Linked DNA regions of Macaca fascicularis. The protein of the gene in region 1 interacts with the protein of each later gene in a pairwise test. Links are inferred from orthologs where the notes say so. Each region holds a gene or a part of one and is shown in the gene's direction. Other genes may lie near its edges.

What was found.
Region 2: the proteins of IPO13 (region 1) and PITX1 interact in binary tests that used the Homo sapiens proteins (3 or more experiments, as listed by UniProt). The link is inferred for Macaca fascicularis from reciprocal best matches to the Homo sapiens genes IPO13 and PITX1.
Region 3: the proteins of IPO13 (region 1) and PBX4 interact in binary tests that used the Homo sapiens proteins (3 or more experiments, as listed by UniProt). The link is inferred for Macaca fascicularis from reciprocal best matches to the Homo sapiens genes IPO13 and PBX4.

Annotation. Positions count from the first base shown.
Region 1 is NC_088375.1:190,801,805-190,805,448, reverse strand, and holds part of IPO13 (importin-13), read left to right. Parts: coding exon 1-36; intron 37-143; coding exon 144-285; intron 286-393; coding exon 394-560; intron 561-780; coding exon 781-901; intron 902-987; coding exon 988-1,135; intron 1,136-1,561; coding exon 1,562-1,743; intron 1,744-1,827; coding exon 1,828-1,854; intron 1,855-2,048; coding exon 2,049-2,183; intron 2,184-2,332; coding exon 2,333-2,476; intron 2,477-3,644. UniProt on the Homo sapiens protein: Functions in nuclear protein import as nuclear transport receptor. Serves as receptor for nuclear localization signals (NLS) in cargo substrates.
Region 2 is NC_088380.1:141,568,741-141,572,384, reverse strand, and holds part of PITX1 (pituitary homeobox 1), read left to right. Parts: intron 1-1,825; coding exon 1,826-2,058; exon of another isoform or gene 2,059-2,504; intron 2,505-3,644. UniProt on the Homo sapiens protein: Sequence-specific transcription factor that binds gene promoters and activates their transcription. May play a role in the development of anterior structures, and in particular, the brain and facies and in specifying the identity or structure of hindlimb.
Region 3 is NC_088393.1:20,055,177-20,059,491, reverse strand, and holds the start of PBX4 (pre-B-cell leukemia transcription factor 4), read left to right. Parts: upstream 1-1,465; 5' UTR 1,466-1,583; coding exon 1,584-1,711; intron 1,712-4,315.

The DNA of each region.
Region 1 (3,644 bases):
TCGCATCGCTGTGGCCCTGGGCGAGAACCACTCCCGGTAAGGGGTGGAGCAGCTGGGGGTGGGATAGTAGGGCCCTCTAAGAGGTGGGGTTATGGAAGTCCCTGGAGAGGTAGAATGACCTGACTGTGTCTCCTCCTCCCCAGGGCCTTGCTGGACCAAGTAGAGCACTGGCAGAGTTTCCTGGCACTTGTCAACATGATTATGTTCTGCACAGGCATCCCTGGCCACTATCCTGTCAATGAGACCACCAGCTCCCTAACCCTCACCTTCTGGTACACGCTGCAGGTGTGTCTGTGTGACCTCCAGTAGGACTGGGCTGTGGTGGAAGAAGGTGGATCATGGGCTTCTATGGCTGCTGGTGAGGTGGCTAATTGTCTTCCCTGGCTCTCTCAGGATGATATTCTATCCTTTGAGGCAGAGAAGCAGGCTGTATACCAGCAGGTGTACCGGCCAGTCTACTTCCAGCTGGTGGATGTGCTTCTGCACAAGGCCCAGTTCCCTTCTGATGAGGAATATGGATTCTGGTCCTCAGACGAGAAGGAGCAGTTCCGAATTTACAGGTGATGGTAGCAGGCCAGCTCCTCTAAAATGGAGTCCAGAAATAATGAAGGCAATGAGGGAAGGGGCCCAAGGCCAGGCTTTCTGAATTTTGGGGCTCCTTTCTCTGTTTTCTAGGCATTGTTGCAGAGTTGTGGGGGTACTGGGGTAGGCTCCTGGGCTTGGGGGCAGGATCCAGGGTCAGGATCCAGGCAGTATAAAAGGCCTTCATCTGCTTCTCAGGGTGGACATCTCAGACACGCTCATGTATGTCTATGAGATGTTGGGGGCCGAGCTGCTCAGCAACCTCTATGACAAGCTGGGTCGTTTGCTCACCAGCTCAGAGGAGCCCTACTCCTGGCAGGTACCTCCCAAGCCTGATTCCCTCAGCCCTCCCAGACCTGTCACACCCTCCTCCTCATCCAAGCCAGTGGCACCCTCTTTCCCCAGCACACAGAGGCCCTCCTCTACGGCTTCCAATCCATCGCAGAGACCATTGACGTCAACTATTCTGATGTGGTGCCTGGGCTCATTGGCCTCATCCCACGGATCAGCATCAGCAACGTGCAGCTGGCAGACACTGTCATGTTCACCATTGGTGAGACCTGGCACACACCCATGACCATATTCCCAGAGCCACAGCACCCCACCCCGGCCACAGCCAGCATGCTGGATTCTATCCAGAATGGGAGAGCCATGTGCCTACACACAATCAGTGTTGTAACAAACTGACTGTCCTGGCAGGTCTAGGGGGTCCATCTGATGGCACACTGAGCTGAATTCAGTGAGGCTAGTTTACTGTCAGTGAAACAGCAGTACTGGGCTTCTGTTGAGTAACCTCTCCCTGCTTCTCAGCTGTAAGGCTCATGTTTGAGCATGCACATGCATATGTCCTCTGAATGGAGCAGTGCTCTGTGCTAGGGCTGCAACTTGACCCTGCCAGGAACTCTGCTTGCCTCAGAGACATGGTACAAAGCCAGTCTGGCCTGCCTCAAAGATCCTTCTGTCTCCCTCCTTCCTCCAGGAGCTCTGTCTGAATGGCTGGCTGACCACCCCGTCATGATCAACAGTGTTCTGCCCCTGGTACTGCATGCCCTAGGCAATCCTGAGCTCTCTGTCTCTTCTGTGTCTACCCTCAAGAAGATCTGCCGAGAGTGCAAGTATGACCTGCCTCCCTATGCTGCCAACATTGTGGCCGTGTCCCAGGTATGCAGGGGCCCTGGATGGTACTGAGCTTCAGAGCACACTCTGCACTGTGCTGATACTACATTCCTTCTTTCTCCCCCGCAGGATGTGCTGATGAAACAGATCCACAAGGTGCGGCTCAGAAGTTTCTAGGGGTCTCCTTGGGGGTCTTGTGGGAATCTCTTATCCCTGAAATCCTGTTTTTTGGCCTTCCCCTTCCTCTTACCCCTTATTCTCTGTGTTTTTCTTCTCCCAAGAGGCCCGTTTTCCTTCTTACCCCACAACTAGATGTGGCCAGGACTGACCATCCATGTTCTGCCCCACAGACAAGCCAGTGCATGTGGCTGATGCAGGCGCTGGGCTTCCTGCTGTCAGCTCTTCAAGTGGAGGAGATTCTTAAGAACCTGCACTCGCTTATCTCACCCTATATCCAGCAACTGGAGAAGCTGGCAGAGGAGATAGTGAGTGAGCTCTGGGGGCCGGGAGCAGTACTGGTACGCTGTGGCTGATGAGGGGTGAAGGTGGAGCTGGCCCTTAGAGCTGGGGCTCAGTGATCTGGGGACCAAACTGGGGCTAGGAGATCTGGAGCTTGGTTTGCTTCTCCCTGCAGCCCAATCCCTCCAACAAGCTGGCCATTGTTCACATCTTGGGGCTTCTCTCCAACCTCTTCACCACATTGGACATCAGTCATCATGAGGATGATCACGAAGGCCCTGAGCTTCGGAAGCTGCCAGTGCCACAGGGACCCAACCCCGTGGGTGACATTGTCTTTGCCATCCCCCCACCCCCACCTGTGGGAATGTCATTGTCACTCTTCAATTCTGTGGGTAATGTTGTCATTGTTCTCCCTGCCCCGTGGGGGTGATATATTTGGTCCTCTGACTCCATGAATGACCTATAATTGCCTCACTCTGTAGGTAGCAATGTCATTATCTCACTCAACTCTGTGTGTGATGTTGTCCTTGTCCCCAGCCCAATTAGGGTGATGTCATTGAGATTCCTCAGCCTCATGAGGGACATTGACGTTATATCCTTCAACCCTTAAGTGATGTTATTATGGGCCCCTGTTCAACCTCCAGCTCTGTAGGGCCTTCTACTTCAACATTTACTGTCCCCTGTGAGCACTAAGGATGCTCATGACATCCTCCACATGTAGTAGTTCTGGCCTTCAAGTTGCTCCCAGTGCAGAGGAAATTCAAGTTGCTCAGATTGTCACAAAGCAGTGTGATAAGTCTTGTGATAAGCTTGGGCACAGGTTTTGGGGTGACCACTTAGAAGCTGCTTGATCTGGGGCAAGCCTCAGCTTCCCATTAAAAACTGAGAACATTGAAATGTCTGGCTTACTCAACTCATAGAACTGTGCTGGATAGCAGATGTGGTCTTAAGTGAAGGTAGTTTGCATATTGTAAAGTTCTTTACAAAGACTGCTTTGGTTGCTATTCCCAGAACTCCCTCCAGGATTTCTCCAGGAGAAAAGGAAGCCATGGGCATCGTGGCCTCTTTGCTTAACTCCCCAACCCAGTTTCAGTTAGCCTCTTGGCTTTAGACCACACCTGGGCCACTGTCATCCCACAGAGCTGCTTCTTTACATGGTAGTCATCATCCTGCCTTTCCTCACCTCCCAGGACCTCAGTCTGCTCTCTACTCCTCCGTAAGCTGGCAGAGCAGCTTAAGCCTGCATCTGTGCATTCCTTGGGGCTCCCTACCTCAAGCCTATTTGGAGGAGATAACATCTGCTCTTCTTCAGAGGCTAGTCCATAGCCTTGGTTTTACAGAGCAGTGATAGGGGGTGATTTTTTTTTTTAAGTCTACAAAGTTTTTGTAACCTTATGAAGCACTTGTGATATCTCTGCTTTGCAGTTTGAGGCTTCCTTTGAGATGATCCCTAGAATTCAGGATATCCTCCTTTTTCATTCATGAGA
Region 2 (3,644 bases), on another chromosome or scaffold:
GAGAGACAGAGAGAGAGGCTAACACCGTGACAGTAGGCGACAGAATGAAAGAGAGAGGCCAAAGAGAAGGGGCGGGCGGGAAGGGTAAACGGGGAGAGGGGGTCAAGTAGAAGGAAGACACAGAAGACGGTGAGGGCGAGCGGGCCAAGAGGCGCGGCCGGACTCCCAGCAAGGCCAGCCCGAACCCCGATCGAGGGATCCGGCCCACGTGTGCAGCCGAAGCCCGGAGCTGCCCGGCCCTGGCCCCCGCCCCGGCTCCGGCGCGTCTCCCTCCGCGCTGCCTTTTTGTACGAGCTGGAGCTTTTTTCCAGCAGCGAACTGGGCCCGGGGGTGGCCGGCGCGGGCAGTAGGGTAGCGAATCCGCTGCCCAGCGCAGCCGCCTGGGTCCCCGAGGGGCTCAGAGCTCCCCGGCATGGGCGCCTCTTCTGCTCGTTTCTTCTGTTCATTTCTTAATACACAGCTGAGTGTTTCTTTACACTTTCTTAATCTGTTTGTTTCTCTTTTGCATCCCTAAGTGATTTTTCTGAGAGGTTCTGTTTGCTTGGTTAAAACACAATCAACGCTGAACTATACTTTTGTTTTCAAAAGTTTTAAGTGCGGTCTTTGGTTGGTTTTATTTTTAAAACCTAGAGAGATATATAATCATAGATTGATTTTTTGAACCAAATCTATGAGGATGAATTAACAATTTTAACTTTATCTTTCGATTTTGAAATAATTAATATACTAAGTGTAGGTCTCTGGAATTTAAAATATCTACATGCAACATTATTCTTCCGGAGATTTTAAAAAGTCAATCCAAAATGGCGCGTTTCTCCGGAATTTTCTCAAAATCCATTTACAGTGGTGTTATTTGGGGAATTTAAATTATCTAACTATAATGTGTTTCTCTGGGATTTAAAAATTATCTCTGTAAGGGCCTTATTGGGAGGGAGTTAAAAATCTATTTACAACGGTACATTATTTTTTTAAATCCCAAAGAAATAAATGCTTCTGTCAGCCTGGAGTTTATACACTTACAGGTCTGTATTTAGTTAGGGGTGTGTTTGTACCGAGTTTTCTGGCTTCTTAATTTACATTTGCTCTGTGTTTCTTCCTGTCTGATTTTGAGAATTTGTGGCCCTTTCTGTGTCTTTAGGCATAGAGCTGTGAGCTTTTCTGGGCTTCTGTGTTTTGTTTTTAAATTCTTTTTCTTTATGTATCAATGTTTCTATGGCTGCGTGTGTTTTGTGTAGCTTCAAAGAGAGACAGACTGAAGCCCGAGGTCACCTAGACAGAGTCTGTCTGTCTGGGCTGCAGTTGGTGGGGTTTTCTAGGCTTTGGGACTGGAGGCCTGGAAGCAAGGCCGAGAACCGGCTGTGTTGTGCCTGCCCAGTGGGGCTCCCACACATCCCTGAGGAGAAAAAAGTGGAGGAGTTTAGGCTGGAAAGATCTGCTCCTAGTTCAGAAAAGCAGAGACCCCCCTCAGATTTAGACCCCCTAAGAGGTCGCAAAACAAACAAAACAAAGCATACATTTGCTCCGAACATCAGCAGCAGGGCAGTCTGAGCCGAGCTAAGGGTGCAGGCCCTGCCCAGCCAGGAACCCAGGCCCGCGGCTAGGGCTCCGATTCTTGGGCTCTTCTCCGCGGTACACCAGACTAGAGGTGCCTACTGACGACCAGCACCCGGCGGGCGCTTTCCAGTGGGGACAGTTCCCAGGGACCCTGGAGGGAGGGAAGGAGGGAAGCCCGCGCTGGTGGCTTGGCGGGCGCTTCGGTGGAGCCGGGACGGGGTGCAACGGGGCGTAAGCCCAGGTGACCTGCTCCACGTCCTGCCTACTGCAGAGAAGGAGCGCGGCGGGGAATCCAAGGGGCCTGAGGACAGTGGCACGGGAGGCACGGGCTGCGGCAGCGCAGACGACCCAGCCAAGAAGAAGAAGCAGCGGCGGCAACGTACGCACTTCACAAGCCAGCAGTTGCAAGAGCTAGAGGCCACGTTCCAGAGGAACCGCTACCCCGACATGAGCATGAGGGAGGAGATCGCCGTGTGGACCAACCTCACCGAGCCGCGCGTGCGGGTGAGCAAGGGGTGCGCCTAAGAGCACCCGCGCAGAGGGCTCCCGGGCCGCCTCTGCTGCAGCCCTCCAAAGCTTAGACCCACAAGCAGACCTTAACTCTCCCACCATTCAGACCTGGTCCCTCCCACCACCGGCGATCCCCACCTTAGGCCCTGGCCCACCTAGCGTCTGCCAGGCCTCCAGGCCGCCATGGACCTCCAACCCCTCTGACCGTCATCCTACCTGATCCTCGGACTAAGGCAGCCCCAGCCCAAAGACCTGTGCCCTCAGGGGACTCCCCCATGCCCTGTGGGGCCCAGGACCCACTTGGATGTTAACAGGATACCCTGGGCCAGAGACTGGGCAGTGGATTCCCTGCCGCTGGGGACTTCGGGAGCTGCTGGCTTTACCCCGAAAACGAAAGGGAAAGGCAGGTCCTGCCTGGCTGCATCGGAGAAGCCAGAAAGGTGCCTGGGTTTGGGGCTCTCAAAACTTCCTGGAGCAGTGGTCCCATCTCACAAGCAGATTCTCTAAAAGCTCAAGATATTCTCCACCCTCCCCAGCCGTCAGTAGGACCCTTTGCCTTCTGCCTTTTCCAGAAGGTCTCCTGTCTGGTGAGGTGGGGGGTGGCTCTGGGACCCAAATGTCCTTCCCAATCCCTTTTGGGATATGCCATCTCAGACCCAAGACCAGCCTGCATTCTCCCTCTTTTCACCCGTTCGGTTTCAAGTAAAAGCAAGGCTTTCCTGCCAGGGTAGCAACAGAATCATTTCTTCCCTGGGGGCGCAAATATTTAATCAGATATTGGGAGCACCTCCCAAGTCGACCGAAGTCCGACCTGGCCCACAGACTCCTTACCATAACCCGCAGCCCTCCCTAGGCAGGCTGGCCAGCCCAGTGGGACTTGGAGTGAAGACACAGCACTCAGTAATCCTGAACTCACTAATCCTGCCCAGGTTTATGGTGGTAGGGGTGAGTGGGGGTGGAATCAGGCAGTGTCAGTGCTGGGGACTAGGGAAAGCTGAGAAGCAGGGGTCTGGCAAACTAGCTCAGGAAACTTCACTCAGAACTGGAGGAAAATCTGAGAGGGCAGAGAGCATGCGGTAGGCAGATAGGTAAGGATGGGGAAGGACTAGGAGGTTGTCACCAAATTTGGGGGGAGAAAAGGAAGGGCAGGAAGATTAGAAGAAACTAGTAAGAATAGAAAAAATTAAATATTTGTGGAGAAACATATTTGGCATATATTTAGGCGGCAGGAAAGAAATTAGGAAGCAAAAAGATCAGGTACTTGAGAAAAAGAATCAGCTGTTTAAGGGGAACAGTAGAGGTCAGATATTTGGAAAGGATGAAAAAGCCTAATATTTGGGGACGATTCAAAAGGATCAAAAATGGGGGATAAACAAGAAAACAGACTGAGGGAGAAGAAAGAGATTCAGACAGCGGGATGGACTAAACGAAAATAAACATTTGGAGCCGAAAAGAAAACATCAAATATTGCCGATAAAGATGATAGCAAACTATTTGAGCGATGAAACAGATCGAAGAATTGGGGGAGTCGGAAAGTCCTATGTCTCAGGGAGGAAAAATACCTTTTGTATTTGAGGGAG
Region 3 (4,315 bases), on another chromosome or scaffold:
TCTATTACTTCCTGTCATTGCAGCCAAGTGTCGGTGGTTTCCTTCATCACAGAGCTTTCCCTATTGTCCAGACACTCAGTCCATGTCTTTCATTTTCACTCCCTACCGTCCCCTTTGGAGTCTCCGGACGCTCTCCAATCCAGCCATTCCAGATGGTGTTTGAATTTCCTCCCCAGCAGCAATGGAGAGAACATGGGCCCAGCCCTGGAAGGGTTCCCAGCCAGCAGGCTAAGGACCTTTTACTGAGCCCACATCTGGAGCCTGTCCTCATAGCAAATAGGCTCCAGGAGGTTCTGTGACTTTGGAGAAGCGATTCATGTCCAGTCCATTCCTTTTTTTTTTTTTTTTGATACCTGGTCTCTGTCAACCAGGCTGGAGTGCAGTGGTACAATCATGGCTCACTGCAGCCTCAAATTCGCGGGCCCAAGTGATCCTTTCACTGCAGCCTCTCAAGTCCCAAGTAGCTGGGACCACAGGCGTGCACCACCACAGGGTCTCACTATGTTGCCCAAACTGATCTCAAACTCCCATGCTCAAGTGATCCTCCCGCCTCCGCCATCCAAAGTGCTAGATTACAGGCGTGAGCCACCGCCCAGTTCCTTTTCTTGTGCAGTAGGAACCTCTGATGCTGTGTCCTAAGGGCTAGAAACAAAGATGTGAGGATTCGCTCTGATTTGGGGCGCACTGCAGGGGAGGCTCTCAGTAAACCTCCTTCCTTCATTCGGTAACCACGTGGTAGCATTTTCTATGCCCAGAACTGTAGACTGCGTAAACAAGCGAGGTCACTCTTTAGCTGGACCTTGAAAGGTGACTGGAATTGATTTCTTCAGTGGAGAAAAGCGCTGCGTTCTGACCTTCTTGTTGCCATCAACCACGCACACCTGTGCTCCCCCTTGGCCGGGTGAAGGGGGCATGGAAAGCTCTAGAGGAAGAGCCAGGGGCCCCAGTGGCCCACCTGATGGGGCTGAGGCTGCAGGGAGCATTAGAGGGACTGAGCAGGGGTCTGGGGCTTGGGGCTTCTGGAAATGAATGGGGGCTGTCGATCAAGCTATAAGAGGTGTGGGGTTCTGAGGAGGAGAGGGTGGCTTGAAGGAAGAGTTGGGGTGCTCCGGGGAGTGAGGGTCTCTGAGGACCGAGGGCTTTGAGGAGGAGCAGGGGGCTCTGAGGAGGAGCAGGAACTCTGAGGAGATGAGTGGGGCTGAAGGAGGCGTGCACCGCGGGAGTTGTGAGGGATGGGGGCCTCTGGCTGGAGCGGAGCCAGCGCTGCCCTGTCTCAGGCTGGAGGAGGGCGCTTGTGAGAAGTGCCGTTGCCTCGGCAACCGCTAACCGAGTCCAAGCCCGGGGTGAGGGAAGTTCGGGGCGTCTCCCGGGGCGGTGCGTGGCGCCGGTTGGCTGACGGCGATGAAGGGGCGTGTCTGTAGGCAGTGCAATACACGGGTTGGCTGGCGGCAGCGGTGGTGGGCGTGGCTTAGGCGCGAGCGCTGGCTGGCGTGGAGCTCAGGCAGCGGCGGTTGGCTGCGGCTCGAGTGCTAGTGCTCCAGGCTCGACGGCTCCTTCACCGCGCCCGCCTGGCCCTGCCGCTCATGGCCGCCACGCAGCGCCCCGCGCCATCGCCCCCCGCCCCGCGCCGCCCGCGGCGGCCCGACACGAGCGACGTCCTGCAGCAGATCATGGCCGTCACCGACCAAAGCCTGGACGAGGCGCAGGCCAGGTGCTGCCCGCGGGCTCGGCGGGGCCACGCAGGGTCGTGGCAGTGAGGGTGGCGGACAGAGGGGACAGGGCGGGGAGGGCAGACTGACGAGAGACGCTTGAGGAGGGCTGGAGGGGGGTCCCGAGGGCGAGGGGATATATGGGGTTCAAAGGGAACGGGCTGGACGGGCCTTATGGGGCTGAGCAGTGGCGTGAAGGATTTTCAACCGTTCATCTTGGGGTGAGAATGTTGAGTTTAGGGAGTAGGGCTGAGAAATGGGCACGTAGGGTACTTTTGACGATTGAATGACTAAATGGGTACGTTAATGGGACTTCTGCAGGTGAGAAGTTTTTTGTTGTTGTTTGACACCGTCTCGCTCTGTCGCCCAGGCTAGAGTGCAGTGGCGTGATCATGGCTCACTGCAGCCTCCACCTCCCCGGCTCAGTTGATCCTCCTGCCTCAGCCTCCTGAGTAGCTGGGACCACAGGTGCACGTGCCACCACGCCCGACTAATTTTTTTGTATATTTTGTAGAGACAGGGGGTCTCACTATAGTTGCTTGAACTCCTGGGCTCAAGCAGTTATTCCGCCTCGGCCTCCCAAAGTGCTGGGATTACAGGCCCCAGCCACCGAGCCCGGCTTGTGGGTGGGAAGTTTCCAGGACAGATGATGGAGAGTGAGTGGTGGGGAATGGGACTCAGGAATGTCTCTGCAGGAGATTGAAGAATTGAATTGGGGTAACTTGGTGTGGGAACAATCCAGAACTTTTGGGAAAAGGGTTAGTGGAGTGGGTGGAGATGGAAGACCTATTTTCTTTTTAATGAATTCAGCAAATTTTTATTGAATCCCTACAGTAACTGCATAGGGAACCGGGTGTTGACAGTCCCTGCTCTCGAGTTCATGATTTAGGGGAGGGAAAGTAAATAGCAAAAAATACGGACTGGGTGGATTGGCTCACATCTGTAATCACAGCACTTTAGGAGGCTGAGGCAGGAGGATTGCTTGAGCTCAGGAGTTCGAGACCAACCTGAACCATGTAGTAAGACCTCGTCTCTACCAAAAATAAAACTAAAAAATTAGTTAGGTGTGACACAAGCCTGTAGTCCCAGCTACTTAGGAGGCTGAGGCAGCAGTGAGCCGAATCAAGCCATTGCACTCCAGCCTGGGTGACAGAGCTAGACAATATCTCAAACAAAAGCAAAAAAGTATAAGCCAGGCATGGGTAGGTAATCCCAGCTGCCTACCAGTGGGAGGATCACTTGAGTCCAGGAGTTTGAGACCAGCCTGGGCAACATAGTGAGACCTCCCTGCACCAATCTGAGAAAAGAAAAAAATAAAATAAATGGCAATAAAAGCTGTAGGGATAGGGGTTGCATGCTATAGGAAGCCAGGTGGAGAAGAACATCTGTGGAGAGGACAGCAGCTTCAGAGGCCCTGAGGTGGGAAAGAGGATATAAAAAGCGGAGCCTGGCTTGGAAGAGAAAGTTCCTAGCCAGGGAGGGGAAGAGTTGAGTTTAAAGGGAGGCCAGGTACGGTAGCTCACGCCTGTAATCCCAACACTTTGAGAGGCCGAGGCGGGTGGATCACGAGGTCAGGGGTTCAAGACCAACCTGGCCAACATGGTGAAACCCAGTCTCTACTAAAAATACAAAAATTAGCCAGGTATAGTGGTGCACGCCTATAATCCCAACTACCTGGGAGGCTGAGGCAGGAGAATCACTGGAACCTGGGAGGCGGAGGCTGCAGTGAGCCGAGATCACACCACTGCACTCCAGCCTGGGTGACAGAACAAGATTCTATCTGAACAACAACAAAAAAATAGTGATAATAAAGGGAGGCTAGAACCCAATTACATGGGGCCTACGAGTCTCAGTAAAGAGTTTTGTTTTTTCAGCCAGGCACAGTGACTGATGCCTGTAATCCTTGCACTTTGGGAGGCCAAGGTAGGCAGATCACCTGAGGTCAAGAGTTCGAGACCAGCCTGGCCAACATGGCAAAACCCCATCTCTACTAAAAATATGATAATTTGCCGGACGTGATGGTGCATGTCTATGGTCCCAGCTACTTGGGAAGCTGAGGCAGGAGAATCATTTGAACCCAGGAGGCGCCTGGGTTCAAGTGCCCCTGCACTCCAACCTGGACGACAGAGTAAGACTCTGTCTCAATAAAAAAAGAGTTTTGTTTTTGTCATCTGGGTAACAATCAGTAGAGAGTTTGGACTATTTATTCCAGTTGCAATGGGGAAAAATAATGGCGTTTTAATACCTCCCATCCCGTTTACCTCCACTCACCACTTGTCAGCCAGCCAGAATCTGTAGAATCTGCTTCACAGGGCAGCCCACCGTGTCTGGGTCCTGCAGTGATTATTAGAGAAAAAGAAAGGAAAGGACTGAAGTCCTTTTGGAGGATGAGGCCTTGTTGAATGGGGACTGTTGTAAGGTGAAGGACGGTCTCTGAGTATGGGACTAGGGTCTGGTGGTGTGGACTGTGTACCCACTAGAGCCCTGTAGTGGGGAGGGGTTACACAGCCAGGTAAAGAGCAGTACTAGGAAGGAAGAGGTAGAGTAAAAGGTGGATAATGCTTGCATTTGTTCTTCAATGAATTTTGTGTGTGTGTGTGACAGAC